3 separate regions of the Mus musculus genome follow, and all the other regions are reported to be linked to region 1. Evidence: microRNA targets listed by miRTarBase, many of them from high-throughput screens and not tested one by one. Region 1 holds a microRNA gene; each other region holds the end of a gene's coding sequence.
The links. Region 1 holds the annotated microRNA mmu-miR-3082-3p (CACAUGGCACUCAACUCUGCAG, at 5,969-5,990, shown strand). A microRNA usually pairs through its seed, bases 2 to 8, with sites in the 3' UTR of a target mRNA and lowers its output. Matches are read on the target gene's strand: a 7mer-m8 pairs with bases 2 to 8, a 7mer-A1 pairs with bases 2 to 7 and ends in A, and an 8mer does both.

Region 2: the mRNA of Efhc2 is a reported target of mmu-miR-3082-3p. Seed matches in the 3' UTR shown: 7mer-m8 at 9,618-9,624.
Region 3: the mRNA of Ms4a15 is a reported target of mmu-miR-3082-3p. Seed matches in the 3' UTR shown: 7mer-m8 at 4,622-4,628.

Annotation. Positions count from the first base shown.
Region 1 is chr17:25,827,327-25,837,355 of GRCm38, reverse strand. Mir3082 (microRNA 3082) reads left to right here and starts at 5,928; the gene lies at 5,928-5,991. Jmjd8 (jumonji domain containing 8) reads right to left here and starts at 8,313. Exons shown (of 9, transcript NM_028101.5): 1 at 8,193-8,313; 2 at 8,018-8,116; 3 at 7,824-7,872; 4 at 7,654-7,750; 5 at 7,503-7,571; 6 at 7,295-7,414; 7 at 7,150-7,217; 8 at 6,922-7,056; 9 at 5,513-6,846. The coding sequence starts at 8,284. The coding sequence ends at 6,766. Stub1 (STIP1 homology and U-Box containing protein 1) reads left to right here and starts at 4,437. Exons shown (of 7, transcript NM_019719.4): 1 at 4,437-4,664; 2 at 5,112-5,310; 3 at 5,395-5,560; 4 at 5,725-5,812; 5 at 5,991-6,047; 6 at 6,138-6,254; 7 at 6,346-6,722. The coding sequence starts at 4,503. The coding sequence ends at 6,471. Wdr24 (WD repeat domain 24) reads right to left here. Exons shown (of 9, transcript NM_173741.3): 5 at 10,000-10,029; 6 at 9,824-9,928; 7 at 9,363-9,703; 8 at 9,018-9,202; 9 at 8,626-8,941. The coding sequence ends at 8,773. It also overlaps Rhbdl1.
Region 2 is chrX:17,122,601-17,132,629 of GRCm38, forward strand. It overlaps Efhc2 (EF-hand domain (C-terminal) containing 2), which reads right to left. Exons shown (of 16, transcript NM_028916.5): 16 at 9,449-9,772. The coding sequence ends at 9,665. Among named protein-coding and RNA genes, the nearest start is that of Gm4203, 12 kb to the left of the region's middle.
Region 3 is chr19:10,973,695-10,983,723 of GRCm38, reverse strand. Ms4a15 (membrane-spanning 4-domains, subfamily A, member 15) reads left to right here. Exons shown (of 7, transcript NM_001034898.2): 3 at 429-551; 4 at 2,375-2,431; 5 at 3,062-3,154; 6 at 3,512-3,625; 7 at 4,399-5,417. The coding sequence ends at 4,515. Ms4a10 (membrane-spanning 4-domains, subfamily A, member 10) reads left to right here and starts at 9,024. Exons shown (of 9, transcript NM_023529.3): 1 at 9,024-9,105.

The DNA.
Region 1 (10,029 bases):
TTGGGTGCTGCAGGCTGCCAGCTATGGCCTACTGGGAGAAGCTTCTGCCGCACGTGGTGCAAGAGCTGGACGCAGGCAGTGGTTCTGGGTCGAGCTGTTCGGTGGGGGACGATCTACCCAGGCAGTGCGTCGAGTTGGGGCCGCGCGTGCGCGTGCAGGATATGCGCGTACTCTGGCTGTGTGCGCGCTGGGCTGGCATCTCGGTGACGCTGTCTGAGCTCGGGGAGCGCAGAGCAGAGCAGGCGGAGCGGGCCGGCCGGGGCGGAGCGGAGCGGTCCGCAGAGCAGCCCCTCCCGGCCTCGGCCGACCCCGGCCCTCGGCCCGGCTCTATGGACAGGAGCTCGCTGCTGCAGCTCATTCAGGAGCAGGTGCGTGGTGGGTGGGAGCTGGCACTGCCTTGGCGCCCTTCCAGCCGGTGAGGGGTTCGGGGGAGGGACCATGCTCGCAGAAGGCCCAGGCAGCCGCCTCCCAAACCCCCCTCCCTGCACGACCTTGGTCTCTGAGACTCCCGACCCCAAGAAAGGTCTGGCTTCATCGGGTTTCCACGGAAAGCTGGGGATGGAGGGTGGTGGTCCTTGGACCTAGGTCCTTCCCCTTTCTAGGACTGGTAGAGCGAATATGAGGTGGTAGAACAGCCAAACCAGGCACCTTGCCCTGCCAGGGCCTGGGAACAAGCTGGTTCTAGCAAACAGGCACTGACTGGCACAAAGGTCCAGCCTTCCTAGCCAGCCTAGCTCAGCCCTGTGGCTGGGAGTTGGCCCACCCTCTACTCCCCCACCACAGCAGCTGGATCCTGAGAACACAGGCTTCATCGGTGCGGACACCTTCGCTGGTCTGGTACACAGCCATGAGCTGCCCCTGGACCCCACCAAGTTGGACATGTTGGTGGCTCTGGCTCAGAGCAACGAGCGGGGCCAGGTCTGCTACCAGGAGCTGGTGGACCTGGTCAGTGCCATGGTGTGTGGGCAGCAGGGGAGGGCCCAGGCCTGGTCAAGCGCAGCACCCTGACCAAAGCTGGGTGGGCACACAGCTTTTTACTGGGTAGGGCTTACAGACCTGGGCAGTGTGGAAGACCCTCAGACCATTAGCAGCCACACAGCCAAGTAAGGTAGGGTTCCACAGGAACAATACTGTCACCTACACTAAGGTTCCTGCCCTTCAGATCAGCAGCAAGCGTTCCAGCAGCTTCAAGAGAGCCATTGCTAACGGACAGCGGGCACTGCCCCGAGACGGACTGCTAGATGAGCCAGGCCTGAGTGTCTACAAGCGGTTTGTGCGCTATGTGGCCTACGAGATCCTGCCCTGCGAGGTGGACCGCCGCTGGTACTTCTACAGGCACCGCACCTGCCCACCCCCTGTGTTCATGGCCTCGGTCACTCTTGCCCAGGTGGGCCTGCCTACACATTGCCCTGGGGCCTCCTGAGTCCCTAGTCTTGACCAGCCCTAACACTAGTGTCCCCAGATCATCGTGTTCCTGTGCTACGGGGCACGTCTCAACAAGTGGGTGCTCCAGACCTACCACCCTGAATATATGAAGAGCCCTCTGGTGTATCACCCAGGACACCGTGCTCGGGCATGGCGCTTCCTCACCTACATGTTCATGCATGTCGGGTAAGTGAGCCTTGCCTTCCAGAGCCTCTTCTCCACTCCTACCCCCAGCACCTGCCCACTGACTCTGAAGGCTTATCTCCCAGCTAAGTTACACTGCCTGAGGTGGTCTGGAGTAGGCAGGGTACCCATCTGACCACCTCTGCCATGCTCTTCTGTGGCCAGGCTGGAGCAGCTAGGGTTCAATGCCCTCCTGCAGCTGATGATCGGTGTGCCCCTGGAGATGGTACATGGCGTGCTTCGCATCAGCCTGCTCTACCTGGCGGGCGTGCTGGCAGGTGAGACTGGCATATAGGTGGGTGGGTCCCCTGCCTACCTCACCTGCTGAGGGGAGGGCCAGCTGTGCCCTCACCTCTCCCTTTGCCCACAGGCTCCCTGACTGTCTCTATCACAGATATGCGTGCCCCCGTGGTAGGGGGCTCTGGAGGGGTCTATGCCCTGTGCTCAGCACACCTGGCCAATGTTGTCATGGTAATGGGACTGCCTTTCTGGGGAGGTGGGAAGGGGCCCATTGGACATGCTTCACAGCCTGTCTGCCTGCCCCCATCAGAACTGGGCTGGGATGCGGTGTCCATACAAGCTGCTGAGGATGGTGCTGGCTCTGGTGTGCAGTGAGTAGTGGGGCAGGTGGGGCGCTGGGAGGCCCTTTACCTGCAGACAGGGCCCCTCCCACCTGTTGCTCCCTCTGCAGTGAGTTCCGAAGTGGGCCGGGCTGTGTGGCTACGCTTCTCCCCACCACTGCCTGCCTCAGGCCCACAGCCCAGCTTCATGGCACACCTGGCTGGTGCAGTGGTAGGTGTAAGCATGGGCCTTACCATCCTTCGGAGCTATGAGGAACGCCTGAGGGACCAGTGCGGCTGGTGGGTGGTGCTACTTGCCTATGGCACCTTCCTGCTTTTCGCCATCTTCTGGAACGTCTTTGCCTATGACCTGCTGGGTGCCGATATCCCCCCTCCACCTTGACCTGCTCCCTAGGGCCATGTGGCTAGAGCCAGGCACCAGGTGGGCCTGCATGTCTGCCCTATATGAATGGACCTCTCGGCTGCTTTTCCCCACAGGGGCAGGGGGGCCCTGTGATCCCCCACCCCCAGCTGAAGCCAAGTCTTACTGCAGCCCTTGCTGCACCCCCCCCCCCCAGGCTTTCCAGGGGGAGGGGTGTTACTGGGCCAGGGCTGGGTGGAGGACCTTGAGCGTGGCCCTAGAGGAGACCCCTTCCCTCCCCACTGACCCCAGGACTTGCAGTCTGAGCCTTTTTGGAGAATGAATAAATATTTTACACAGCACCAGGTAGCTGTCCTGGGGCTCTGCAGGCTTGTCTGCCCCCTCACCCAAGCTGTATGAGACACCTCCCCTCCAGGACGGTCTGTGCTCCCTCTCTCCCTTCAAGCTCTGCACCTGACTTGAGGTGGTAGCTTTACTCCTGGCCATGGCCGGAATCCACAGGAGGTGGGGCCCCTGGGAAGAAACTGTGGACTTCCAGGTCAGTCCAAGTTCAGCAATCGTTTATTGTGCTACAAGAGCTTCCAATCTCCTGTTCTTTCAGCCTCCCTTCCAAACGCAAGCCCACAACAGAGCTAGGTTCACTTGGCCTGGGTCCTGTAATTCTTGGCAGGTCCTTGTGGGAGGCCCAGTCAGGGTGAAGGTCAGGCAGCAGGTCTGGGCATACATCTGCCCCCCAAGTTTGCACAAGACGAAGAGTCTACAACTCTAAGACACTCACTAGTGAGGTCCACAAGGGTTCTGGGGTCAAGTTACTAACCACCAGAACCATGATGGGGCCCTGGATGACCTCTCAGGCCCCGCTCAGCCCCGCTCAGAAAGGCAGTGAACTCTTGCACCTGGGCTAGAAACAGCAAGTAGTGCTTGAGTGTGTACTGGAGGGTTAGCAAGCTAGGAACTGTAGCCACCGCCTCTTCGTATATGAAAGCTGCAACCCCAGAAACCTCTGCCTCCAGGACCACTGCAAAGAGTGACAAGGAGGTTCTGGGGATAGCTTTTTTTGAGCTCCTAGAGCCCCCACCCAACTTGGGCAAAGATGCTACCTACTCACTCGAGGCAGTGGCAGAAACCACGCAGCGAAGTTTGACTGCGGCGCCCAGATCAGCAGAAAGCCGAGTTCTGCTTCTCCAAGTCCGGGGTTGGGGGTGTTAGCGGCCAACAGCTGATGCAGCAGCGGCTAGAAATGCCTCAACGACAGACCATGGGGTCAAAGGGTCTTGGTGCAGGCGCTCTCCAAGGAAACCAGCCGGCTCCGCCCTTGAAGAAGCTCCTCCCCATGACCGCGAGAAGGGCAAGAGTCCAGCCGTGCACCCGCAGCTACTTCTATAGCAACCGCAGAAGGTCCTTCGGTGTCAGCGTGTCACGTGCTTGTTTCTCAGCCATTAATGGCCGCAGGCAGCTCCTCCCGATTCCCGAGGAAGCCCCTCGAGAGCGGTCTGATCTGCGGGCCTCTCTTCTACCCTCAATTCCGCCTTCCTACCGGCGGTCCAGACGTTCCCAGGCTGTCGCGTGAGCCCGTGTGTGCCCTGGTGGTGCGCTAGGACCCGGGCCTAGTGACCGGCCCTCGGAAGGCCACTTCTCAATGACCGCTGCCACGTTCGCCCAGCTTGGGGCCGGAGGGCGGGGCTTGAGCGCCGATGGGCGGAGCCTTGGTCTGAGCAGGGTAGGTCTCGGTTACTGTAGGGCGGGGCCTGTAGAGCGCGGCGGAAGCTTCTCAGAGCTAAGGGAACTGGCTCAATCCACGAGGCTCCGCCTTTGCTCACGTGTCCCCATGCCAGCTCCGCCCCACACCGGAAGTTCCGGTGGCGGATCGCCGACCGGGCGGAGCTGATCGCTGCGCGGGCTGCGAGATCTAGGTGGCCGGGCGCGGAGCCCAAGCCGTGCCGCGCGGCGCCATGAAGGGCAAGGAGGAAAAGGAGGGCGGCGCGCGGCTGGGCACTGGTGGCGGCGGCAGCCCTGATAAGAGCCCGAGTGCGCAAGAGCTCAAGGAGCAGGGAAACCGGCTCTTCGTGGGCCGCAAGTACCCGGAGGCGGCGGCCTGCTACGGCCGCGCCATCGTGAGTGCGGGAGGGGCGGGGGCGGGGCCCGATGTGCCTCCCAGTTTTGTGATCCCGGACAGGGTTTCTGGCAGCCTGGACTCGATGGCTCGCTCGCTCCCCTGGTGCCCGGATTGCTGTTCCCGAGTCTAGGGCTGATTTGACTGGGAACTGGCGGGCGGGATGCTTGATTAAGTAAGACTAAGGATGACACCAGGAGCTCTTGCCCCTTGAGATTTCCAAGCCCAGAGCTTGTAGAGGGGTTGTGGGATTTCTCTCAAAAGCAGTTGGAGGCAAGAAAGCATGGCCAGAATCCAGAGCTCTTGATAATTCGGAAATCTCCAGTTCCTCTATTCCAGCCATGGGCCCCCAAAGCTGGAGCATTGACCAGATCATTGGCTTTCAGCTTGCTAAATGAGAGGGGATCAACTGAGCCCACACTCTTTGACGCCTGGTCTTGGTCCCCAGACTCGGAACCCACTTGTGGCAGTGTACTACACTAACCGGGCCCTGTGCTATCTGAAGATGCAGCAGCCTGAACAGGCACTTGCTGACTGCCGGCGAGCCCTGGAGCTGGACGGGCAGTCTGTGAAGGCGCACTTCTTCCTGGGGCAGTGCCAGCTGGAGATGGAGAGTTATGATGAGGCCATTGCCAATCTGCAGCGAGGTGGGCTGACAAGATGCAAGGTTGAGGGCACCTTGGGGGACCAGGATTGTTGACAAGTGTAACCAAAAGTGTCCACTCCCCTAGCCTATAGTTTGGCCAAGGAGCAGCGACTCAACTTTGGGGATGATATTCCTAGTGCCCTTCGCATTGCTAAGAAGAAGCGCTGGAACAGTATCGAGGAACGGCGCATCCACCAGGAGAGTGAGCTGCATTCATATCTCACCAGGCTCATTGCTGCTGAGCGAGAGAGGTGGGTCCCTCCCCCAGCAGACACTGAGTCACCAGCACAAGTGTTTTTATTGAAGGACAACAACCGGTACATGGGAAGCCCAGGAGGAAAGAGGCCTGAGATGGGGCGGGCTCTGTGATTTCCTGGTCAGGGCCATCACCAACTAGCTTCTGGTTAACCCTCAGGGAACTGGAGGAGTGTCAGCGGAACCACGAGGGTCATGAAGATGATGGCCACATCCGGGCCCAGCAGGCCTGCATTGAGGCCAAGCACGTGAGGGTGCCCCTAGTCCACATGTGGGTCATTGTGTGTGTGTTTGTGTGTGGCATGAAAAGTGCCCCAGCCTTTGGTGGATCTGTTGGCCCATGCATGACATGAGTGCCCTGGTGGACAGAGTGTGTGTGTCTGTGTGGAGACAGGAGTTGCCCACACATGGCACTCAACTCTGCAGGATAAATACATGGCAGATATGGATGAGCTCTTCTCTCAGGTGGACGAGAAAAGAAAGGTGAGGACCCCCGGAAGCTCATCGGCTGCTGCTGGTATGGTGACCCCCACAGCCCCCTCCAGTTCTAGACATTTTCCCCTTGTGCTATAGAAGCGAGATATCCCTGACTACTTGTGTGGCAAGATTAGCTTTGAGCTGATGCGGGAACCCTGCATTACACCCAGTGGTATCACCTATGACCGCAAGGACATTGAGGAGCACCTGCAGGTAAGGAGGGCCCATGGAGACCGGGCCATGGAGAGCCTTGGTACCCGGATCGGTATACTCAGGCCATTGAACACTCTTGACTCTGTTGCAGCGTGTGGGCCACTTTGACCCTGTGACCCGGAGCCCTCTGACCCAGGAACAGCTCATCCCCAACTTGGCCATGAAGGAAGTCATTGACGCTTTCATCTCTGAGAACGGCTGGGTAGAGGACTATTGAGGCCCCATGTCCTGCCTGGCACCCTGGCCCAGGAGGATCTGGAGACGGAAGCTCCAGTCCCTGTATAGTTTGTGTCCCTGGGCCTGCCCCCATCGGCCCTGCTGATGGGTTCTGAACTGCTCCCCTTCTCAGCATACCCCTTGCTGGACCATGAGCCTCCCTTGTCCCCCTTCTGGGCTGGAGAGTGGGTGAGGGTGGGCTGAGGTTGCTGCTGCTGCCACTGTCCTGTAATAAAGTCTGTGAGCACTACATTGGCATGTGCTGGTGCAGTGGGCTTGCCAGTTGCCTGTCTGGCTAGCCAAGGAAGGTAGAAATGAAGACACTGGTGTCCAGATTGAGTGTGGCATGCCACCACCGATCAGGAAAATACAGTACCTGGGAGAAAAGAAAAAAAAAATTTTGATTCATGGCTTTTTGAGTTAGCCCAACCCCCACCTACCAGCTACTGACTTCACCAGCCTGGATGGTACATTCTAGAGGCCGTGCTGACAGGGCTAGAGATGGGTATATTTCCAGCAGCCAGGCCAATGTGGTCTTGTTAGGGTGGAACTCAGGTGTCTTCTCAGGAGGGTAGAGGAACCAGCGCTGGAGGCAGGAGTGTAAGGTCACTATGTGTGCAATGGACTATAGACACCAGATTTACACACACACATAACACACACATAACACTGTACTGACCTTCCGACCATAGATAACCTCTGAGAAACCAGGCCCATGCCAGTGGAAGGGTACCCCAGATCCAGCTCCTGTGGGGTCAGTTATGAATAGCTGATGAACAAAATATATATGGGCTCCCCCAAGTTTGTTTTGAAGTAGCCCCTACCTGCAATTCCAAAGCTGTAAGCAGGGGTGGTTCCCAGGAGACGGAATGGTGGCGGAGAGTAGTGCTGGAAGAGGGATGCCCACTCAGTGAAGTTGTTGTCTCCAAAAAAGTACAGGGTGTCTGCCAGCAGAGAGGGTGATAGGCAGGAGTACTGGCAACAGTGGGCTCCCAAGTACCCCACTCCCACCGCTGCCTGGGTCTGGCTCACCATTGCCTAGGGATGCAGGATCCTGGGGCTGCAGCAGCTGTTCCACATATTCCTGGAAGGGCAGGTCCACTACAAGAAGGGGGAGCCAGTCGGGACTGGTCAGTTCTGCCTTTGAGATGTGAAGGCAAACCTTGCAGGGTGTGTAGCTCACCTTTCTGGTAGGAGTAGGTGTTGGCTGTACTCAAGCGAACAATGTTGTCCCCGAACGAGGCTAGCAGGTTTTCCCGGGAACACAGGGCCCGGAACTTCTGGGGATGAAGGATAAGGTAACTGAGCACTTGGCCAAACAGAAGCAGTTGCCCACAGGGTACGAATACTCACCGAGTTGTCCGTGAGTCCTTGCAAGATGACGGGCTTGAGGAAGGCATAGCTGGGGGGAAAGAGGAGAATGTTGCACTGAGTTTGAACTCTGCAGGGGCCTCTCCTACACACCAGGCAGTGAGACCTCCGCAGCCAAAGACCATGATTGGTAGTATGCCTAGAATCATGCTGAGACTTGGGGCAGGCACACATACTGCTGCATGAATTCGGAGTACGTGATGTGTGCCCGACGCTCCACTGTGCAACGCTCCTCCTCCATTACTGCTGCTGCAATTCCCAGCCCATTCTGTTTCCTGCAGGGACAACAGGTCAGGCCAGTCAAAGCTTTAAGTTCAGGCTCCCTCCCGCCACCCATTTCCTATGGCTCACCATCCCCCTTCGCCAGAGGCAGGCAGAATCACAGTCACCATCATCCATAGTACAAAGAGCAAAAGCAGACCGCGCCGCCCAGCCGCCGCCATGAACATACGGGTGCAGGCGCGCAGCACGCTGGGAATTCTGTCGACACTTGCGTAACCACAAGCCATTGGCTTATCATCCGGACTGCTGTAGCTACCTGCAAGCAGTAGCCAGCCGGCCTTGGAAGTCTCCTCCTTCTTCATACAAGCGCATTGTACACACACACACACACACACACACACATCCACACAACATCCCTATTTAATCATTTCCTCAAGGCGGAGGGAAAATTGTATCGAGCAGCCATTGACTACTGTGCGTTACCATGGCTACAGCGCCCCTACCGGAAGTTCCCATGTGCTAGAAAGTTCCCACCCAAGGCGCAATGAAAGTGACAAGTGGCCAAACAGCAGCTCTGGATTTTTATTGGGTTAAAAAGTTGTAGCCACCTTCCATCCTGGTACACAGGATGGGTAAGGGGCTGTGAGCCTAGTCCGGTGGACATCGGGATCGAGCTGAGGACGCTGCATCAGCCTTAGGGAAGGCCAGGTCAGGAGTATTCACAGAGGTGGCCGCAGCCTGCAGGGCAGTGGGAGCTGCCTTCCAGCCATTTCATGATGTGCTGAAGATGGCCACCATGACTGCAACCCTGACACCACACGAACAGGCCTTTAACCACATGATGGCAGACAGCACACATGCTGGCACAGCGGTGGCACCTGGGAATGGGAGGGCTGTTCAGCTGGGGAGCTCTGGGCTGCCTCCCTTCCAACCTCCCCAACTGCACCATCGCACCTGTCACAGACCCAGCCGCGGCTGCTCATGGGCCGCTTGCAGTGACTACAGTTGACATGCAGCGTGGTGGAGGCTTGGTTGAGGCAGCTAACTGCCCTGCTGGTGCTCAGCTTCACCACCTCATTGGACACATTCCAGAGGCAGAAGCGCTGCAGCAGATCTATGTAGGATGTGTACCAGTGCTCCTGGTGGGGAGGGACAGGCTCAGGTTAGTGTTTCCAGGAACACTAGGGTGTGTGTGTGGGGGGGGGGGGGGGTACAGTGGAAAAGAAACAGGCTCAGATGAGGGAACCAGCAGCCAGTCTGGGGAGACCCTCCCCTGCCCCGCCCCGATCCATCACACACCTGGGTCTGCTCATCGATGTCCTTTCGCACTCTCTCACCCAGCACGATGAGAACAGACACAGCCATCTGCACGTCGCCCTGCTCAGCGTAGAAGCGCAACATGTCCCGTACCAATACACTGAAGAAGTCAGGTGGCAGGCGGCTGTCATAGAGTGCATGTGAGACGGAGAGGAGGGAGGAGGAGGAGTCCACCGGGGCTAATGAAGCTGTGTCTGCCTCATTGCCGCTCACGTGCGGAGAGTCCGCCTTGTCCTGCAGATGCTCGGGCCCAGATGGTGTGTCTACAATTTCATGGCGCAGTGGGAAGGCCTCTTGTGGCAGCACATATTCAGGCTCCTCGGCTGGGAGGCAGGGGTGAGGAAAGATGGACCTGAGTGTAGGCTTCCCGCTCCACTCAGCTCCTGCTCACAGAGCCATGTTCTGGGTTGGACCCCTCTATAGCTGACCCAGCCCCTACTCACAGTGCACATGTTCTGTGTCAAGTGGGTACAGCTCATCGTCCTCTCCTTCTACGTCACCCAGCAGGTAGTCAGCAGGCACATCACTCCCTTCTGTTTCCTCATTATCTGCCCAGCAGGGAAGGGAGGTCATTCAGGGAGTGGCACCCCAGCCTTTTCCCATCAGCATCCCTGCCTACCCTCATTGGTGACGAGTGTGGCTGAAGAGT
Region 2 (10,029 bases), not on the chromosome of region 1:
ATTCCACCTCACACCAGTCAGAATGGCTAAGATCAAAAATTCAGGTGACAGCAGATGCTGGCTAGGATGTGGAGAAAGAGGAACACTCCTCCATTGCTGGTGGGATTGCAAGCTGGTACAACCACTCTGGAAATCAGTCTGGTGGTAACTCAGAAAATTGGACATAGTACTACTGGAAGATCCAGCAATACCTCTCCTGGGCATATACCCAGAAGATGTTCCAACTGGTAAGAAGGACACATGCTCCACTATGTTCATGCAGCCTTATTTATAATAGCCAGAAGCTGGAAAGAACCCAGATGTCCCTCAACAGAGGAATGGATACAGAAAATGTGGTACATTTACACAATGGAGTACTACTCAGCTATTAAAAACAATGCACTCACTGATAAATGGATTTTAGCCCAGAAACTTAGAATACCCAAGATACAATTTGCAAAACACAAGAAAATCAAGAAGAAGGAAGACCAAGGCATGGATACTTCATTCCTCCTTAGAATAGGGAACAAAGTACCGGTGGAAGGAGTTACAGAGACAAAGTTGGGAGCTGATACAAAAAGATGGACCATGTAGAGACTGCCTCACTCGGGGATCCATCCCATAATCAGCCACCAAATGCAGACACTATAGCATATGTCAGCAAGATTTTGCTGAAAAGACCCTGATATATCTGTCTCCTGTGAGGCTATGCAGTGCCTGGCAAATACAGAAGTGGATGCTCACAGTCACCTATTGGATGGAATCCAGGGCCCCAATGGAGTAGCTACAGAAAGTACCCAAAGAGCTGAAGGGGTCTGCAACCCTTTAGGTGGAACAACATGAAATAACCAGTACTCCCAGAGCTCGTGTCTCTAGCTGCATATGTAGCAGAAGATGACCTAGTCCGCCATCACTGGGAAGAGAAGCCCCTAGGTCTTGCAAACTTTATATGCCCCAGTACAGGGGAATGCCAGGGCCAAGAAGTGGGTGTGGATATGTAGGGGAGCAGGGCAGGGGAGGCTATGGGGGACTTTTTTACTGAGGCAGCTATATCAGGGTCCTTTCAGCAAAATCTTGCAATGGTGTCAGCGTTTGGAGGCTGATAATGGGATGGATCCCAGGGTATGGCAGCCTCTAGATGGTCCATCCTTTCATCTCAACTCCAAACTTTGTCTCTGTAACTCCTTCCATGGGTGTTTTGTTCCCAATTCTAAGAAGGGGCAAAGTGTCCACACTTTGGTCTTCGTTCTTCTTGAGTTTCATGTGTTTTGCAATCCAAGTAAAGTTTTAATGTCCTATTATGAAGCTGTTGTGGTGTTAATAAAGGATTGTAGAATAGAATCATGAAAATATTTTGGAAAGAATGTCTTAAAAACCTGATGAGACATCTATTCCTTGTTTCAAACAGTAAATAAATTAGTTATTAAAGAATGCTGATATTTGGCCTATTGCATAGCTAACATTTTAGGCAAAACTGATAATCATTATACAAAAGACAATATGTTAAAATGTGCCTGTATGTATGCTTTTGTATTTTCTGTAAATTTATGCATGCATCCCATAAAGAATATATGTACTGTATTTACAAACAGCCCTTCTATGGAAGAGAAGTAGATGTGATTGGATCACATGTTTATTCTTTTGAGTTTCGTTCTACTTCAGCACAAATAATAAGACTATGTGTTGTAACCACTGCTTTTATAGTGTTGAAAAATCAAGCTTTTAATTTGTATCCTGATATATATATAATATACACAACATATATATATATATACATATAAATATACTATATATATTATATATATATCTTGCTCAGGGATTAGAATTGCTTGAAATTGTTCCTATTTAGATACTGCTAATTCTCAAATTTTGCAGTTGTTTATGCATATACAACTCAAGTTAAGAGAATACTATCCCTTTAAAGGACTGTCTTTGGACATTTAGGAACTCATCCTGGACTGGCTGGATAAGACCTCTTAAGGCAATGCCACAGCAGATTTGTATCCCAGGCAGATTATAGGCCATACACAGGAACAATTGGCCATATAACATTCTTTACATCATCAAAATAGTAATGGCTTGAGATAATAATTTGGTATTTTTAGAGAATGTCCATGTCAAATTGTAAAGACTTGTTCTCAATGTCCTCAGTTTCTACCTGTTCCATATAATGGTGTTAATTCTTGAGGACTTATACTTAATCAATTATTGCAAATAGATACTCATATTTCTGATTTTAGAAAAATAAAAAATATGCACATGTGACTATTGATACCTTTTCATGCTTTCCAGTTGCAACTGCTTTAACAGGAGACACAGCTAAAAATGTATTTGGTCATTGCCTGGATTATTTTTCCTATGCTTGGTGTTCCAAATCAGATTAAAACAGATAATGGAACTGCCTATTATGGTCAAGCATTTGAGATGTTTTGTTAGCAATTTAATGTTACCCATATTACTGGGATTCCTTATAATTCACAAGGACAAGGTATTGGGGAGCTTTAAAACAGTATCTTCTTTAAAATCAAAAAAGGGCGAATTATATCCTCCAATGTCACCAAAAGCACACCTTGCCTTTGTCTTATTTGTTTTAAGCTTTTTGCAAACTGGTGCTAAAGGTCAGTCTGCAGCAGATCGCCATTGGCATCCAGTCACTTCCAGCTTCTATGCCATGGTTATATGGCGAGACCTCCTAACTAATACATGGAATGGTACAGATCCCATTTTAATATGGGGGAAAGGTTCTGTTTTTGCTTTTTCACAAAAAGAAGATGGAGCCTGGTGGCTGCCTGAAAGATTGGTTCGTCAAGTGGACACAGATACTGAGTCTTCTAGTAAGTATGATTCCAATTATGAAGATGAATAAACATCTTTATCAGCCAGCTGAATTAATTTGGAGCCTAGTTTCCACTATTACCTGAGAAGTAACAGTTTTTCCTGTTGATTCTCAAAACTACCTCCCCCATACTGGGAGGACAGGTCTTGTGTCTGATCGTTGCTAATGTACAACTGAATTGAGTGCTTGGCACATTCCCCACAGACAACCTTAATCCTGTTTGCTCTTAACTTTCCATTTTTTTTTTTTTTAAGCAGATTGGTTCGCTTTCACATAGGATCATCTTTGGCAAGCTCAGTCATTCACCATGGCAGTTATTCATCGCTATGAAGAAATGCATTCAGTGCATATTGTGGCTTTGGTCTGAATGGGAAAAAAGTGTGCTATGAGGGCTGGCAGTCAAAGATGGGACACTGATGTTCTATGACTCTTATCAACCTAAGACAGGGGCATGTGTTAAATGGCCATGTTTGTTCATAAGAAACACTAAAAGGACATGTTTGTGCAAATAAACACAAGCACGCTGTTTGTGTCCTCCAGGATAGATAAGAGACAAACACACAGACCTAAGCCAGGTGTGGCTGCCAGCCACCATAATTCCCAGTTCTCTGTGGCCACTGCCAGCTACAGGACAGCATTTCACAGCAACTCTCTCCATTCTCTGGTGATTATGTTCTTTCTGTTCCCTCTTGTATGATGTTTCCTTGTATGATGAGCCTTGAGAAAGTGTTGAAATAGATACCATCTATGGCTGAGCTCTCACAATCACTTATTGTCAGCACTCTGAATAGTAATGCATCTCTATGTTAAACACTACTCACTGACCAAGGCTGGGGGCAGCACAAACTTTAATAAACAAATAATATAAGGCAGTTTGTCAACATGGCCATTCAGAAAAACAACACTATAGGTGTTTCCCCAAAGGTCTTTTATTTTCCTGGTCCTGGTTTTTGGCCATATTTATAGTGCCAGGCATGAAATCCCTCCCGTAGTGTGGCCTTAAGTACAATCAAGGAAGATTTTACCATGTATAGTCTTGCATCAGTGGGCACATTTTGCCTCATAGACCAGTATTGTACACAGGGTCCAGTGCTGGATAAGAACATTGATGTTATTCTCCCCAGCAACCTCCATAACACCTTTCAGCATTATAAAAGCTGCTCAGTTTAGAGAGTTCTCTGGCCAATTCAAGAATTTTATGTCTAGGAAACAAAGTGTGTGGTGTCTTCAGCAACAGAGTCTTACCACATAGCTATGGTAGGTAACCAAGGGCAGTGGCAAAAACTTTTATTGTTTTGGGGACCTCTGCAGCCTGTCTAACAATATCTGGCACTGAGATTTTTCTTTAAAAACTTCTTTAAAATGAACACCGTGTTTCTTATATCAGCACTCTAATGACTCAAATAATGTAGGCCTAGCCCATACCATTCTGTAAAAAAAAAAAAAAAAAAAAAAAAAAAAAAGAAAAGAAAAGAAAGAAAAGAAAAAGAAAATTCAGACCTGTTTTATCAGGTTGCCTTATCAAAACTTGTCATTTTTTTCAGTTCCCCAAGTTACCCACATTTTAAGGTTAAAAAAATCTGTTTCTGTTACTTTCCAAGTAAGAAAGAATTTTATTTCATATCCCAGGCTGTCCTTCAACTCACCAGGGTGGAAATTATTGTGTGTCACCACTTCTGACTTCAAGTAAAATCCTTATTTTTTTAAAATTATGTATTTTGTGTAAACATGTTTCTGCATGCATGGGCATATTTGGAAGTCAGAGGACAACTTTTCAGAGTTGTTTCTCTCCTTCCACTAAGTAGGCTACAGGGATTTAACTTGGGACATGGAGCAGGGGAATGGGCAGTGTGTGGAGGAAGCTTGGTGGCAAGTGCCTTTATGTACAGAAAAATCTTGCCAGCCCCAGGCAAAAATCTTGACTTCGTTCAATCCAAGTTTTCTCTGATGCATCCCAGTTCAGTGAACACCAACATCTTCTACCCAGATGTCAAAAGGACTCAATCATAATTGTGATTTCACTCTCTCATCTCCACCATCCCAATTGTGTCACGAATTACTCCCATTCTCAACAATCTTACCAAAATTAATCCAAGCCATCAGTCAACTCTCTAGCAACAGTCATCTAATCAAACCTTCTCACCTCCCAAGCTCAGCTCTACAAGTACACACACACACACACACACACACACACACACAAATACAGCCAATAATATTCAAATCCAGGCATGATCTTTTCAGGCTAGAGATCCAAATTTTCCAGTAATATTTCATCCCTCTAGATGAAGGTCAAATTCTTTAAGGTTGAGTCACACACACAGGTGATGATCTCCATTCTCCTCTGGAACTCCCTGCAATTGTTTCTTGCTGTCTTTCTTCTCTCTCTGTAGGGTCTGATCATAGTTAAAACTGGCAATATTTTCATCTCCTGTTCTCTATCCCATGGGTGGCCTCACAGTAATAATGACAAGCCAGAGTGGTATGGGAGAAAAAGAAAAAGCAGGCAAAAGTAATTCTGCCAAGTCCCTACGGCAGTCAAAGGTCCTTTGCATAGGCAGTATAAGAAAAAGGAAACAGAAAGATGACTTTGGTAAAGGAGAATACATTTTTTCTGTGTGTTTTTACCAAGCCATGTACTCCTCTGAATTTCAATATTATAGTGGGGTCGTATTGTTGGCTTTACACAGATGCAAAACAGTGCTCAGGAAGCTGGGAGATTGATGAATAGTTGGTTTGATGTATTTGATCTATTCAGCACTTTGAGTTAAATGTGCAGATTCTGTTCAGAATAGACAATAGGGAGGAGTGGTCCCTCTTTCCATCTCTAACTTGCATAACATCAGGCCTCACTGCTTTAACTAATGAGTGTTTAGAAGTCAAAGCTCCCACTGATTCTGGGGAGCCATTAATTCTCTGCTTGCAGAGCCACTATGGAGTTTTTCATAGAGCACATTTCTTAGCCATTATCAGTTATTTCTGAGCAGCAGAGCTGACCCCTGGGTTCCTATGTGAGTCACACACAAGACACACAATAGGTTCTAAAGTGTCCTTGGAAAGAATTTAACTGGGGACCAGAAAACAGATGCAAAAAAAAGGTACCCATGCTGGCCATTCTTTAACAAAGTTGTCTGCGAACTGTAACTTTGGGAGAATTAATTGTCACAAAGTACAAATGTATATTTAAACCAACATCTAACCTGGTAGAAGGCAGGCAAAAGCAAGCTGGAAGATTCTTTTAAACTAATTACCATCAGTGCTATCCTTTGTGATAATTATGCTTGTTCCATTATTGCCCCAGGTTGATTATTTGCTCAATAGCCTTATTGATCTTGCCTCAGTAGGCTTTCCAGTTTTTACACATTACATTCTCTTGGGAATTGAAAAGCACTGTGTGTCTGAAGATGCTCAGTCAACTTGAAAAGACTCATTTTTGAAGAGGTCTTAACCTGCTTTCAGTTTAAAGCAATTCAGTGTTTGGTCAAGTAAACTTGAGGACAGAGATGGATGCATCACTAGGATCAGTGGGTTTTGCCATCACTTGGAAGCCGTTAGTTTGAAAGACCATTTATAGAACAATGTTGAAGGACATTCAAAATTCAGGGATCCAGACTAATATCTAAAGGGAGTGCACAAACCATTAAGACCCTGGCATTTTATTATTGGATGGATTCTACATTATTCAATAGCATAAATATTTTGTGAGGAACATGACTTGTTCATTTAGATTCCAGGCACTGAAGTCATAACTAGAAAATTTATAATGCATGGAAGAAGAGCAAGGTGAAGGACGAAAGCAGCTGGAATAAAAGCAGCTGAAAGGCCAGAAAAGTAGGTGTCAATCAAACTGAGATAAATCCAAGTTGGAAAGACAAGGATTTTCCCCAATTTTTAAAAATAATGTTGTTTGCTCTGTTTTTGAACAACATGAGGTCTTGTTTTACTCATCAACAATTACCTGATATTTGAAGGAAGGAAGGATGAATGAAGGGCAATTTAAATATTCTAAAACTGTGATTGAGGGATCCAGAAAGCCTAGAAGCTCTATAACCCCAAGGAAACAAATTCAGTAACACAGTATAAAAATACCAATAATGTTATATATGATATTAGTTGAATCAAAGACAGTATATAGAAAAAAGCAGTTTCAACTATTATATGTTCAAAACTATAATGCTCTTCACTTCCTCTCTATTGTCTAAAATCTCAACCATTTAGTAACTGCTAAGCCAAGCAATAGGCTTATCTGCATTCTGTTTCAGATGGTTAGGTAATAGGTAAAAAAGGTGACAAGGAAAAGACCAAGTAATACTGCCAATTAGTCATCTTCTGACAGTAGCATGCTTCTTCACACAGTGACTCAGCATCTCACTACTCTGAACTTCAACATCTTTTAATTACTTTTGCACTAAAAGTCATGACTTGATTTGTGCTTCCAAATAACTTTAGCAATCATTTGCAGGACTCCAATAATACTAAAAATCAATTAGTTCAGAGGACAAAAGGTTTGCCTATATTAACCTTCAACTCACCCAGACACCCACATGTAATTCTTGCTTTTCACCACAGGAAGAAAATGTTAAGAGGTAATAATCGGTTTATACAAAGGTAAAGAAACCTAGAGTTTCTCTTTCCCAGAAATAAAAAGAAGAGGCAGAAATCCTGGTCCCCCTCTCCATCTGCCCTAAAGATTTGAGTCATAGAGTTTATTTGTTAAAAATGGTTATCTGCTGCTTGAAACCTAAGCAGAACGCATTAGCATTTAGGGACCACCTGTGACCAAGGGGAGCTGGGAAATTTCCAACTCAAGTGTAAGACCATTCATTGATATTTACATAATGAGAATAAATGTTTTTCCTAAGATAGCATTTTCCTTCAGTATCTTCAGACCACCAGCAAGAGAGGGAGGCACAGAAATTCTATTACATTAATAGTCTTTGTTTTTATGGCTTTGGCATTTATTAACTAGTGGGAGCTGTTTATTGGGTCATAAACTTTACTAATGGGGATATTATCTCTGAATTATAAATCTCCTTCAGTATATGGCTTAGTTATAAAATGAATAATTATTTAAAGTGTCTGTATGGCTGTAATGTATCATGTTTATCGGCATGATTCCTATAATGGCCATTTTATTGTTAATTGTGAGCTTAAACCAGGAACCACCAGGGCAGGAACACAGATCCATGACTTAGGATAAATAGTCGTCACCCCGTGTACTCAGGCACACTATCATTGGTTTACTTCCTTTGCCCCCACTTCTCAAGTGAATTACAAAGTCTACACATGGGCTAAATTATCTGAGCAGTCAAATGGGGGAAATATAACTGAGTGAGGGGTTGAATAGGTAGGTGACAGATGTGTCAATCTGAACACTTCTAGGCACATGTTATCCCTTCTAAAAGCTTGTTCTCTGGGAAGTAGAATAACCTTAAAATGACAAAATAGCTTGGCATTGTTAGTTACCTTAAAAAAAAAAACTGGGACAAAACCAAGCCATCAAAATTAGAGTTTTATGGGCCCACTGTAACTTGTGAATTCTAGTTTAATACGTGGCTCTATGGGACCAATTCTGATGGTGCACATGAAATTGTCCTAGGTTTATGAAGAGAAGTAATTTACTGGCTAGTTTTGATTAAAAGAAAATGAAAGAGCCATTGTTGTGAAGCAAACTGGATCATAAAAGTAGGAGCCAACTCATCTGGGGACAAGGGAATGCTCCAAGTGAAGAATGAAAGGAGAAGGGAGTTCCCTTTCTTCTTGGAAGGGGACCCTGAAATGGCCTTGACTCCTCTTCTTCTCCTCAGGATGACCCCTAACAAGCACAGTCCTTTCTTGATAGACTCCCACTGCCTTTGAGACAAATACATTTATGATATTTTTAGCACCCAGCACTATGGCCTGGCATGGCATAGGGAAGAGTTCTAGACATTGAAGCTCCACTGTGATAGGTTGTAATCAGATATACACTGTATGACAAGAGTGTGTCATGACAAATGTGTGCGGGAAAAGTTCAAACCAGGGAAATGCAGGAGAGATCCATTGTAATTTTAAACTACTTAAACCTCTGGGCTAGAGTTTTAGAGGCTGGTAGTAAGTATGCAAAATGAAGCAAAACAAACCTTTGAAACTTTCCATAATCATATCCCTAAATATTTTAAAATAATACATTTTTGGTCATGCTCTAATTATATACACATGCATATATTACTAAGCTAAGAAGCTGAGTTTAGATATTAAAAGACACTAAAATTATAAATACAGCCTATGTTTTAATTTCTCTCTTAAATGTGTGTGTGTGTGTGTTTTGGCAGAGAGAAGGTGCTTTTTTTCCCCATAACTTCACTAACTTTAGAAAATATACACTCACTCTAGAGAGGTTTGAGAATTATTTTGATGAGGTTCATTGCTACAAAACTTAATTATGTAAGTAATAAACATGTGTCAAAAAGATTTCAAAAATACTTACCAGAATCTCAACTTATTGCTCTGATATAATTTGATTTTATATTGTCATGCATAGCTGTCAAAAGTCATTTTCTTTTCACATTGCAATGAATCGAATTATATTAGATGGAAATTATTGTAAGATTCTTTGGCATTCATAAATAATACATACAATAAAATGGTCAACAATGTTTTAAATGGTATTTTTAATAGTGCTGGTAAATCAACAATATAACAAGCTGTTCTGAGGAACTACAGTGACAAAGAAAATTAATTGTGGTTTATGAATTTCCATTTAATACAAACCTTGTTTCTTATTTTTTGTTTGTTTTAAATGAAATTATATTTATTAAAATAAACATGGCATAATGAGAACAGTAAATCAAAGAGAGTTGATCAAAACCTTCATAGCATGTTGTCCTCTAAGCCATATACATCAATCAAAAAGTCTAAGTATCTAACGTATTTCACAGGAATAGGTGATGGCATTCCCACCCAAACGTCTTCACATTTCTGGAAAGAAAACAAACATGGACACAATTATAGCCACATTTCAAAGTTCAGTTTTGAAAATTCAGTGGTACATTTTTTTAATCTTTAAATAAACTTTTGTTGAACTTGTTTCTGGACTTGAGAGATGGGTGGTTCAGTGGGAAAGAACATTTAGTATTCTTGCACAGGAGCTGAGTTTGATTCCCAGCACACACACATAGTAGCATACAATTGCCTATTACTCTAGCTCCAGGGAACCCAACATTGTCTTCAGACCT
Region 3 (10,029 bases), not on the chromosome of region 1:
CCATGGGGCACTGGTAAATAGAAGAAAGAGGAGGAGGTAAAGATAAGAGGGGGCCAGGAGGAAGAGAGATGGAAAGAAACCCAAGTGGAAAGTTCAGTCAAGCAGTGTAGCCCCCAACCTCCAGGATGGGCTACGGAAAGATAACAGGAAGAAGGCAAACTAGGCATTTGGTACCAACGTGCTGAGAGTCAAGGAACCAAGACTAAGAAAATCAGAAAAGCAAATCAGAGCTGTCCTTGACAACCAGTCACAAAGCCGTGGCCTGGAGCTCCTCCTAGTCTGAGGAGAGCTGGTTCTACCTTAAGGCTGGCCTCAGCCTCCTGCTCATTCCCCAGGAGCTGTGGAGAGCCAGGTCTGCAGGACAGCAGAGGGCGGTGTGGAGCTCGTGGTCCCAGGTCAGTGGCGTGAGCCTTTTCTGCTTCCCACAGACGGTGCAGATCCTGATCGGTCTCATCCACCTTGGCTTCGGCAGCGTCCTGCTTATGGTTCGGCGAGGCCACCTGGGGATGCTCTTCATCGAAGGTGGCGTCCCCTTCTGGGGAGGAGCTTGTGTGAGTGCGGGTAGCCATCCTCGGCTAAGGAGTGGCTTTGCCCAAGTCACCTCGCCCTGTCCCACTTCCGACATTTTCCTATCCATAGCCTATCGTATGTCAGAGTTTTACTCACCCCTCACAAGACTAATATGGGAGTAATAGCTATCATCACTATTCTACCAGAAACTACGGGTGAGGAGCAAGCAGGCCAGTGTCCTAATCACACCTGGGCTACCTGAGTCCTAACCCCACAACCATACCCAGCCCCCACCCCACCCCTGCTTCTCTCTGTGGGTTCCAGCCCTGCCTGAGCTGGTCCGTAGGGAGTCTCCCTATCCAATGTCCATTCTTCTGGTCATACATCACTGGAAAACCAAATCAGGGCTACCTTGTCTGCTCTGAGGTCCCAAAGAGAGGGAGTTTGCAAGATAGCCCTGCTGTCTGTGCCTTACAAAGGGGCCAGTGCCTCTGGGAATGGGGAGCCTCCAGCTACCTCCAGGAAGCACCGGCTTTCTGATGAGCTTAACGGGGTCTTCATTGAGGCTCTGCTGTGCATGACGGTAGAGTCCCCTCTGCATATCCCAGACAGTCTCAGCAAGAGCTCAGAAGCCCCTAAAAGTGGAGGTCAGAGACCAACATTGCTGAAACTTCACAGCTACAGCTAAATGGCTGGGAACAAGCTCTAAGCCCTGCTTCTAGTGGTCCATAGTGGACCCAAGAGGGAGGGACATGTTGGCCAGCAGGAGTCTAAAGTGGGCACTGCCTTGGGAAGAAACAAAGGTAGCACTGTTCTTTAAAATCCCTCCTGCTTCAAAATCTGTCACAAATGTGTGCCATTCCCATGGTAGGAGGGGTAATAAACGCCTGTTTGTCAGTCTCTCGAGAGACAACAGGGTCCTGCGGCCTAGGCGGGGCATATGTAGCTTTTATCTTAAAACTTCACAGGGCCAGGGAGAGAGTTCAGTGTGTAATGAACTTACACGGCAAGAGTGAGGGCTTGAGTCCTTACCTCCACCACCCTTGTCAAAAGCCCACCTGGGCTGGTGAAAAAGAGACTGACAGCCCTTCTCACAACTCACTGGTCAACCACCTGGCATAATCAGTGAGCCCAAGTCCACATAAGAAGTCGTATCTCAAAACCGAAGTGGGCAGTTCCTATGGAGGAATGACACTCAAGGTTGACCTTAGCACAGAGGCACGCATGCACAAGTACACACACACAGAGGCATGCATGCACAAGCATACACACATACATACAGAGAGAGAGAGAGAGAGAGAGAGAGAGAGAGAGAGAGAGGCATGCACATGCCCTCATGTGTATATGAGAGAAGTAGCTCTTCATTTTATGTTCTTGACACCCAACTGCTACTTGTTAAGTGAATATTAGAAGGAAAGGTGAGTGTACTATGACACTTCAGTAATATACCGTCAACGAAAATGCATACCTAGTAAACCATGGCTTGAGGTCTCAAGACAGAGAGAGGCCTCTTTGTGTTTGTTTTTGTTGTTGTTGTTTATTTGTTTGTTTGTTGAGACAGGGTCTCTATTTGTTGCCCTAGCTGTCCTAGAACTCACTACATAGAGCAGACAGGCCTTGAACTCACAGAGTCACTTGCCTCTGCCTCCCAAGTGCTGGGATTAAAGGCGTGTGCCACCATGCCCAAGGACAGGGGCCTCTTACAGAACCACTAAGATTAGGACTATATCCAAGATGCCTGGCCAAGATGCAGACAAGGAAGTTGATGCCCCTCTATCTGTTACCTTCTTGATGGGACCTAGGTATGATGCTCCCTGCACGTGTCTCAGCCAAAACCCCATTGGGCTCTCTCTTCCCCACACAGTTTATCATCTCTGGGTCCCTCTCCGTAGCAGCTGAGAGGAACCACACCAGTTGCCTGGTAAGTCTGAATGGACACAGAGAGCCAGGGATAGGGATGGTGCCCACCTACCTGGGTGCCACTCGGGACCCCGCTCCCATCTGCTCACTCATTTGGCCCATTCAACAAGCACTCCTTGGAGATTTTCTAAGTGTCCACAGAAGGAATTTAAACATCCACATACAGAAGGAGGAGACGAGACACTTGCAAAATGCCACCCAAGGTAGATGGTAAGAGTCTAGTGATAAAGTCTTCACAGACTTTCAGAGGAGGCAGTCGCAGGAAGGGTCCCCAAGAGAATAGCCACCAAGTTGTTAAGGTAGATGGGCCTGGGCCTGAGGGAAGACAAGTTGGGGGTTGGGAGGGAGGTGGCAGATGCATGCTGCAAACATGTCCCAGGAAAGCCACTAAGAGGGTTAGGCCTCCTTCCCAGAAGCTCCCAAGAGGATGGAAGAAGCAGAGAGAGGCATCAGGGCCTTTTCTTGGGGTCTCAGGGAAAGAGAAGAGAAAGAATGGGGAAAGGAAAACCCAGCCTCCTCCAATGCTAATGGCCCCAAGCCCCTAGGCCGGGAAGGAGGGTGCAGGAGACTGGGCACAGTGAGTGTCCTTTCTCCTCTTTGCCTCTTCTTGTTGCTCCTCTTCCTCCCACAGTTGAAGAGCAGTCTGGGAACCAACATCCTCAGTGCCATGGCAGCCTTCGCGGGGACAGCCATTCTTCTCATGGACTTTGGTGTCACTAACTGGGTGTGTTGGCAGATGTCCCAAGGGGTGATAAACCCAGAGAGATGAGGGTTATAGCCAGGACTAGGGAAGACCCAAGAGTCTGCAGTCCTGGGCTAGTTGCAGAGCCTGATGCTCCAGTAGACCTCATGAGTGTACTGACACCTTGACCCTACCCCACGTCGGATGGGGAAGGCAGGGGAAGGGAGATGAGACCCCGTAGAATGGAAGGAGTGAGGCCCAAGGCTGGAGTCAGGAAGGCTGGAGCCAGGTACACACATCTGCCTCTTGCCTGGGAAAGTTATTCTTGGTCCGGGGGGGGAGGGGGTCTCTTTACTTTTAAACGCTCTGTTTGCCTTGACTGTGGGTTTGGGTTCTCAGGATGTGGGCAGGGGCTACCTTGCCGTGTTGACCATCTTCACCATCCTGGAGTTCTTCATCGCTGTCATTGCCACCCACTTTGGGTGCCAAGCCACCCGTGCTCAAACTAACGCAGTAAGTATTCTCACACCACGTCCAGAGCCCCTGAGGTTGCCTGTTGTCCAGGAAGAGGTTACTCCTGCAGCCCCTCCCACTTCCCCTTTGTGGCTGAGCTGTGATGAGAACCTCAAGTTTTGAAATGGGACTATTCACCCGTGGCCACTGGGGGCGCCAACACTATAGGCAGAACTGAAATTCTTCTGGAATCAGAGGACAGGGTTGGGGAGGGCGAGGCGTGCACCTTGCACAGAGGAGCCCACAGACTGCCTACAGATGGACACATCAGAAAAGACAGCATGTCTCAGTGGAAGCTCATTTTTCCAGGGGAAAATAGGAGGCGGGTGGAAGAGAGTGGGAAGAGGGGGTTCTGATAGCGCAGAGGCTTGCCTGGAAGGAGAATGTAGAGGATGGCAGGTGCCATTTAAAGTTGGAGCAGGAGGATGAACTAGATTAAAGGAGCCCAGTGAGTGACTACTACTGTGAGAGCAGCATGTTCAGGCAAGAACTATAGAAGCCCCGGGTTCAGCAGAGACTATCCAGAGAGGAAATATCAGCTCACTAGCCCCTAGGGGAAATGAGGTTTTGTCTACTTTGCTAGCTTCAGTGTGTCCAAGTCCTAGCTCATAACTGACCCTAGAAAATGTTTGCTAACATGTCAGTTACACGATGCTTTTGTGTGAGAGAGCTGCTGTTCTCTGAATACCCACGGGGTGGCACTATTGCAACGCTCCCCGAAGACCGCAGAGCCACCCAAAATTTGGGATTTTTTTTTTTTTTTTTCTTTGCAGTCTGTGATTTTCCTACCCAATGCCTTTGGCACGGATTTCAACATCCCCAGCCCAGCAGTCTCTCCACCTCCTGCCTATGACAACGTGGCATATATGCCCAAGGAGTCATCAGAATAGATTACAAGTTCTGCAGGTTGAAGTCCAGGCTTCCCACTTTACCCAGAGCCTCTCCACCCTCACTTTGTCCGTTCTAAGGCAGCGGTTTCCCAGCGAGACTCTCCAAGCCATGTGCACTGTGTCACTGAGTGACATGTTCCATCCATTTCCTAGTTCCTCCAATACTGTCTTTCCAAAAAAGGCATAAAGCTGGTGTCCAGGGTGTGCCCATTCTCAGCCCTGTCACCTGACATAGACGTCCCGTACACTCCTCCTCAGTCCTCTGCTCATCGTGGGAAATCTTGGCTTCGCAGAGGTTTCGGAGGTTTGTCTTCAAGATCATTAAGCACGGAGAACTCAGAATGTTCCAGAATAGACTGGCATTTCAGAGGCTCAGAGCAAGGCTTGACCTCCAGGCTCCTAGCTCCGAAGATCAGCTCTGTCCTTTGTCATCTGCTGTTACATCTTTGGGATTTCATTTTCCCACCCGGAAACTAGAGTGTTAAACTACACCACATAAGACTAAGGCGTGATGGCGCACGCCTTTAATCCCAGCATTTGGGAGATTGAGGCCAGCCTGGTCTACAGAGTGAGTTCCAGGACAGGACAGTCAGGGCTACACAGAGAAACCCTGTCTCGAAAACCAAAAAAAAGCACCTCTTGGCTAAGCCCTGCATTTCTCTTCTCCACCCCGGAACCTCCTTCTCCTTATTTGTAACAGAAGATTGGCATTGACTCTGGCTCTGCCCACCTACTAGGACAGGAGGCTGCAGAGGAGACTGAACCACTCCATACTCCCCCAACCCTGCCTGAAAAGCAGGAGTGCCCCTGAGAGTCACCACTTCAGCCCAGTGTTCACAGGCCCTGACATATGGCTTGTATCATCTATACTTTGGAGAAAAATAAACAGCGTGGCTTAGATTTTAAGTTGGTCTCAATGTGGTGGCATTTGCTTTTTAAGTTTGGGATCTTCTGAGGGCTTAATCATGGTTAATCGGAGATTCAGGCAAGTACCCCCATTAAGAGCAGGCAGGATATGGTAACTTCTTACAGTTAGGGACATCTCCATGCCTTGAATTCGATGATGATCACATGGGTAATTGCATATGTGAAAATCAACTTGTGTGGAGACAGGGGAGATGACTCCGTGGTTAGGAACCTGAGTCTCTGTGCTCAGCATGCAAGTGAGAAGCTGGGCACAGTGACACGGGTCTGTAGTCCCAGCACTGGAGAGGCACAGAGTGGAGGAACCCATGGGCCTGCATGGCCAACAAATCTATCTGAATCAGTGAGTCCCAGGTTCCATGAGAGACCTTGGGTTGAAAGTTAGGATGGGCAAGTAAGAGAACAAAGGAAGCCTTCAGAGGCCTGAACTCGGCGTGTGGACGGAGGAGAACGCTAATGAGATTCCACAATACACGGAACTTACATACATGCTTGCCGAGTGCTGACATTAATCACGAGTAGGCTTTAACAAATACTAATGAATTCAAGATGTGCTGACTGTACGCACGTCAAAGTCTTACCAGATTTGCCCAGCCTCCCACCTCAGTCTGGTTCGGATGCCCCTTTCTTTTTTCTTTTTCTTTTCTTTTTTTTTTTTAAGATTTATTTATTATATGTAAATACACTGTAGCTGTCTTCAGACACTCCAGAAGAGGGCGCCAGATCTTGTTACGGATGGTTGTGAGCCACTATGTGGTTGCTGGGAATTGAACTCAGGATCTTCAGAAGAGCAGTCAGTGCTCTTAACCGCTGAGCCATCTCTCCAGCCCCCCAGATGCCCGTTTTCTAACCATCTAGATCGTCATTACATCATTAGCTTCATGCTTTTCCCACTGTTCCTTGATGTCATCTCCCATGATTCCCTTCCAACCTGTTCATATCTTGACTGAGTACTCAGAACCCACAATAACCACAACCAAGTTTATGCTGAGACAGACAGGAATAAGAGATCTCAAAATACCATCTGGGAACAGGCATTTCTGTTTCAGGACAATGAGCAAAGGTTCTGGATAAAAATCTGAGAGAAGAGGGCTGGAGAGATATCTCAGTGGTTAAGAGCACCGATGACTGCTCTTCCGAAGGTCCGAAGTTCAAATCCCAGCAACCACATAGTGGCTCACAACCATCCGTAATGAGATCTGATGCCCTCTTCTGGTGCATCTGAAGACAGTTACAGTGTACTTAGATATAATAATAAATAAATCTTTTTTTAAAAAATCTGAGAGAAAACCTAGTCTAAATAATGGCAGATATTTCTTCAATAATTTCTGTTGGAGAACCCTAGCTTGCCTAACCTCAGAGAGTTCTGTTTTTACATAGGATGAAGCATCGATCTATTATCAAATACCCAAGGATCCTAACTTTAATAAAGGAGAGAGATTTATTTACCTCGCTGTTCTGGAGATTGAAGGTCAAACGTTCACGTACAGTGGTGAGTCTGTCCTCCAGGCAGAGTCTAAAGGTGGCACAAAGCATTGCTCAACAAAAGGCAGGAAAATCATGCATGCGAATCTGATTCTTCTCTGTTTCTGATAAAGTACTAGGATTCATTTATGCCCTCATCCCCATAGCCTTCTAATCCTAATCACACCCCAAGGCTACCTACCCCTCAGTTTTCATCAGGTTGAGTTTCTGACTGATGACAAACAGGGTGGCACTTCAGTGCGAGAACTATAGGGGGCGCTCTCACTACTCCCAGGGGCTCTTACTTAGCTCCCTATTTGGTCATTCCACAGTTGTTGACTATACTTAATAATCAAAGGTGGGTGGGGCAAGGAAACAAATTCTTGGCCTTATTCCCACAATGAGTCAGTTCTGCTCAGAGCAGGTGGGAAGCTTTTTAAAAAGCTCGACTCTTATTTATTTCTTTAAACATCACTAGCTCTGCCTGCTTTTAATCATCACACAAATGAAATTATATAGTATGTGTGTATCTTTGTGTCTGACTCTTTTGACTGAATGAAATGTTAGAGATTTATCTGTAACATCTTATATTTTTATTTTATTATTTTCAATACTATAAACCTTTTGTTTTATTCTATCAGTTTAATTGATTTACCTGTTGATGGATAACCAGGTTAATTCCATTTTGGAGCATCGTCAATAACACTAACTTTAGTGTGTGCACGTGCCTCTGTGTGTGTGCACGTGCCTCTGTGTGTGTACACGTGGTCTCACACACACACACACACACACACACACACACACACACACACACACAGTAAGAAGACTGGAGAGACAGCTCAGCAGTAGTTAAGCGTACTGGCTGCTCTTCCAGAGGACCAAGGTTTGATTCCTCCCGAGCACCCACTTGCCACATGGCAGTTACAATTGTCAGTAGCTCTAGCTCAAAGGGATCTGACACCCTCTTCTGGCCTCTGAGAGTGCCAGGCACGCATGTGGTGCACAGACATGCATACAAACAAAAACAATTATACATATTAAATAATAAAATCGTTTTTTAAAAAAGAAAGAAAAGTAAGATAGAGAATAATACACACAAATAAACCAACATACACATATATACATACAAATTTACCTAACTGCATATGCTGCATACACTTTAATATGTATATTAAATATTAACAATTAAATGTGTATTCTCCGTCTTTAAAAACCAGAGGAAAAAGATAGAAAAAGCACAGTAGTTATCTAGTTCTGCATGAGACAGACTGGACAGCTTGAAGTTACACATTCTCATCTCACCATGTCCATGGTCAAGATCCAAACATGCCTTAGATATAAGTTCTCTGTAAGTCACATGCGCTGCAAGCTTGGTGGTGGCTGGACTTCACTCTCAATCAGGGCTTCCTGTTACTTGTGGTCACGTGACCATACCTTTTAAGACAAACACTACCATGCTTACACAGATGACAATACATCTGTCTGGCTTACCACCAGAGACCAAAGTCAAGCAAGAACTTAGGATGACCATGGCTGGTTTGAGGAGGGACACAAGGCCCAGGGCAGGGTCATTGTAACCACTATTGTGGATACTTTAACTTTCAAAAAATTAAAAGATTCTTTGAGGGGCCAGAAAGGTGTCTCAGAAGCTAAAGTTACTGCACAACCTGACAATATCCGTTCAGACCTCAGCACTGTGGAAAGGTGGAAAGAAGGAATCAATTTCACAAAGTCCTCTGACCTACACACACTCACACAGACACACAGACAGACACACAGACACACATCAATCACACACTCATATCAGCCACCCACATCAACACACACACACACAAATAAAAATTTGAGAATTTTAATAATCAACTCATTCAAATGCTGCCTTCACCAACTTGACAATGAACTGCTCCATGAACTGAAATGTCATCACTGCAACATTAACTGTCTCAGCTGTTAAAGGGAGACATAAGGAAGGAGACTCAGATCTTCACCTGCCCAGGTTTGGAAGCAGATGGTTTTGAAGGATCTAGTCCAGACATGCATCTCTGATTAGCTGGGAGTGTGAGCAAGGGGTGGGTCCCAGAAAGAAAAGAATCCAAAGTCTAAAGCCATAAAGATGTTCTGATTTCCACCTCTGGCTCTGTGCTGAGGCAGCTCTGGATGGTCAGGCACAGCTGAAGCCTACAACAGAGTTCCCGGGGCCAGGTGAGTACCCCCTCTCCACAGCAGAAACAAACAAGGGAGGGTCATCAGGGCCTCAAGTGGGGTTCAGTCTTAACACAAGAGATCAGCCTCTTGTGCTCGTCAGTCAGTAGCTGCAAGCTGGTGGTGAGTGGCTGAAACTTGACCCCCCCAGAAGTGAACAGGAACTGTTTATCAAGCAATGTCCACAACAGCTGGAGAACAAATGTTCCATGCTATGAAGTCCTGGGAAGTGGGGTTACTACGGGCCTCTCTCCAGGAAGGAGTCTGCTACCAGGAGCCCAGCCCACTACCCAGGATCAGTTGGTGATTCTGAGAGCTAAGAGGAATGACACCCCGTCCCTTCTAACCCTGGAACCTTGAGCACACAGAGAGACAGATTTGAAAAAGCAAAGCAAGGAAGACACTTGGGAAATTCCACCCTCTTTTTCCCATATCTTCCCTTTACACCAAGTGCCCAGCCCTGAGACCTCGAGAAAGTTTACTTTGCAAATGCCAGGGCCCCTTCTGACCTAACATAACTGAAAACCCAATCTTCTAAGGGTGGCTGCCAGCAGCCACTCTGTCACACTGACTCCATACCTCTCGGTACCTGCCTTTCTCTGCCTAACATGCCCATACATACATCTACATATATGTACATATATGTGCACATATTATATACACATACACACGTATGTGTAAACACACACTACACTACCCTCTCTGCTCTCTTGACTTCTTCTGCACTGTCTGCTTAGGGTCACATTCCCATCAAGATTTTCTCAACCTTCTAACCCAGACCTCCCATGGACAGATCTTATCCATTCTAGACATTCCCTGGCAACCAGCTCATTGCTCTGCAGACAAAATCCTGAAGGGCAGTCCTGTGTGCTCCCAGATAACTGTCTCCACACACTCTCCTCGACACAACCTTCCCAGCTATCA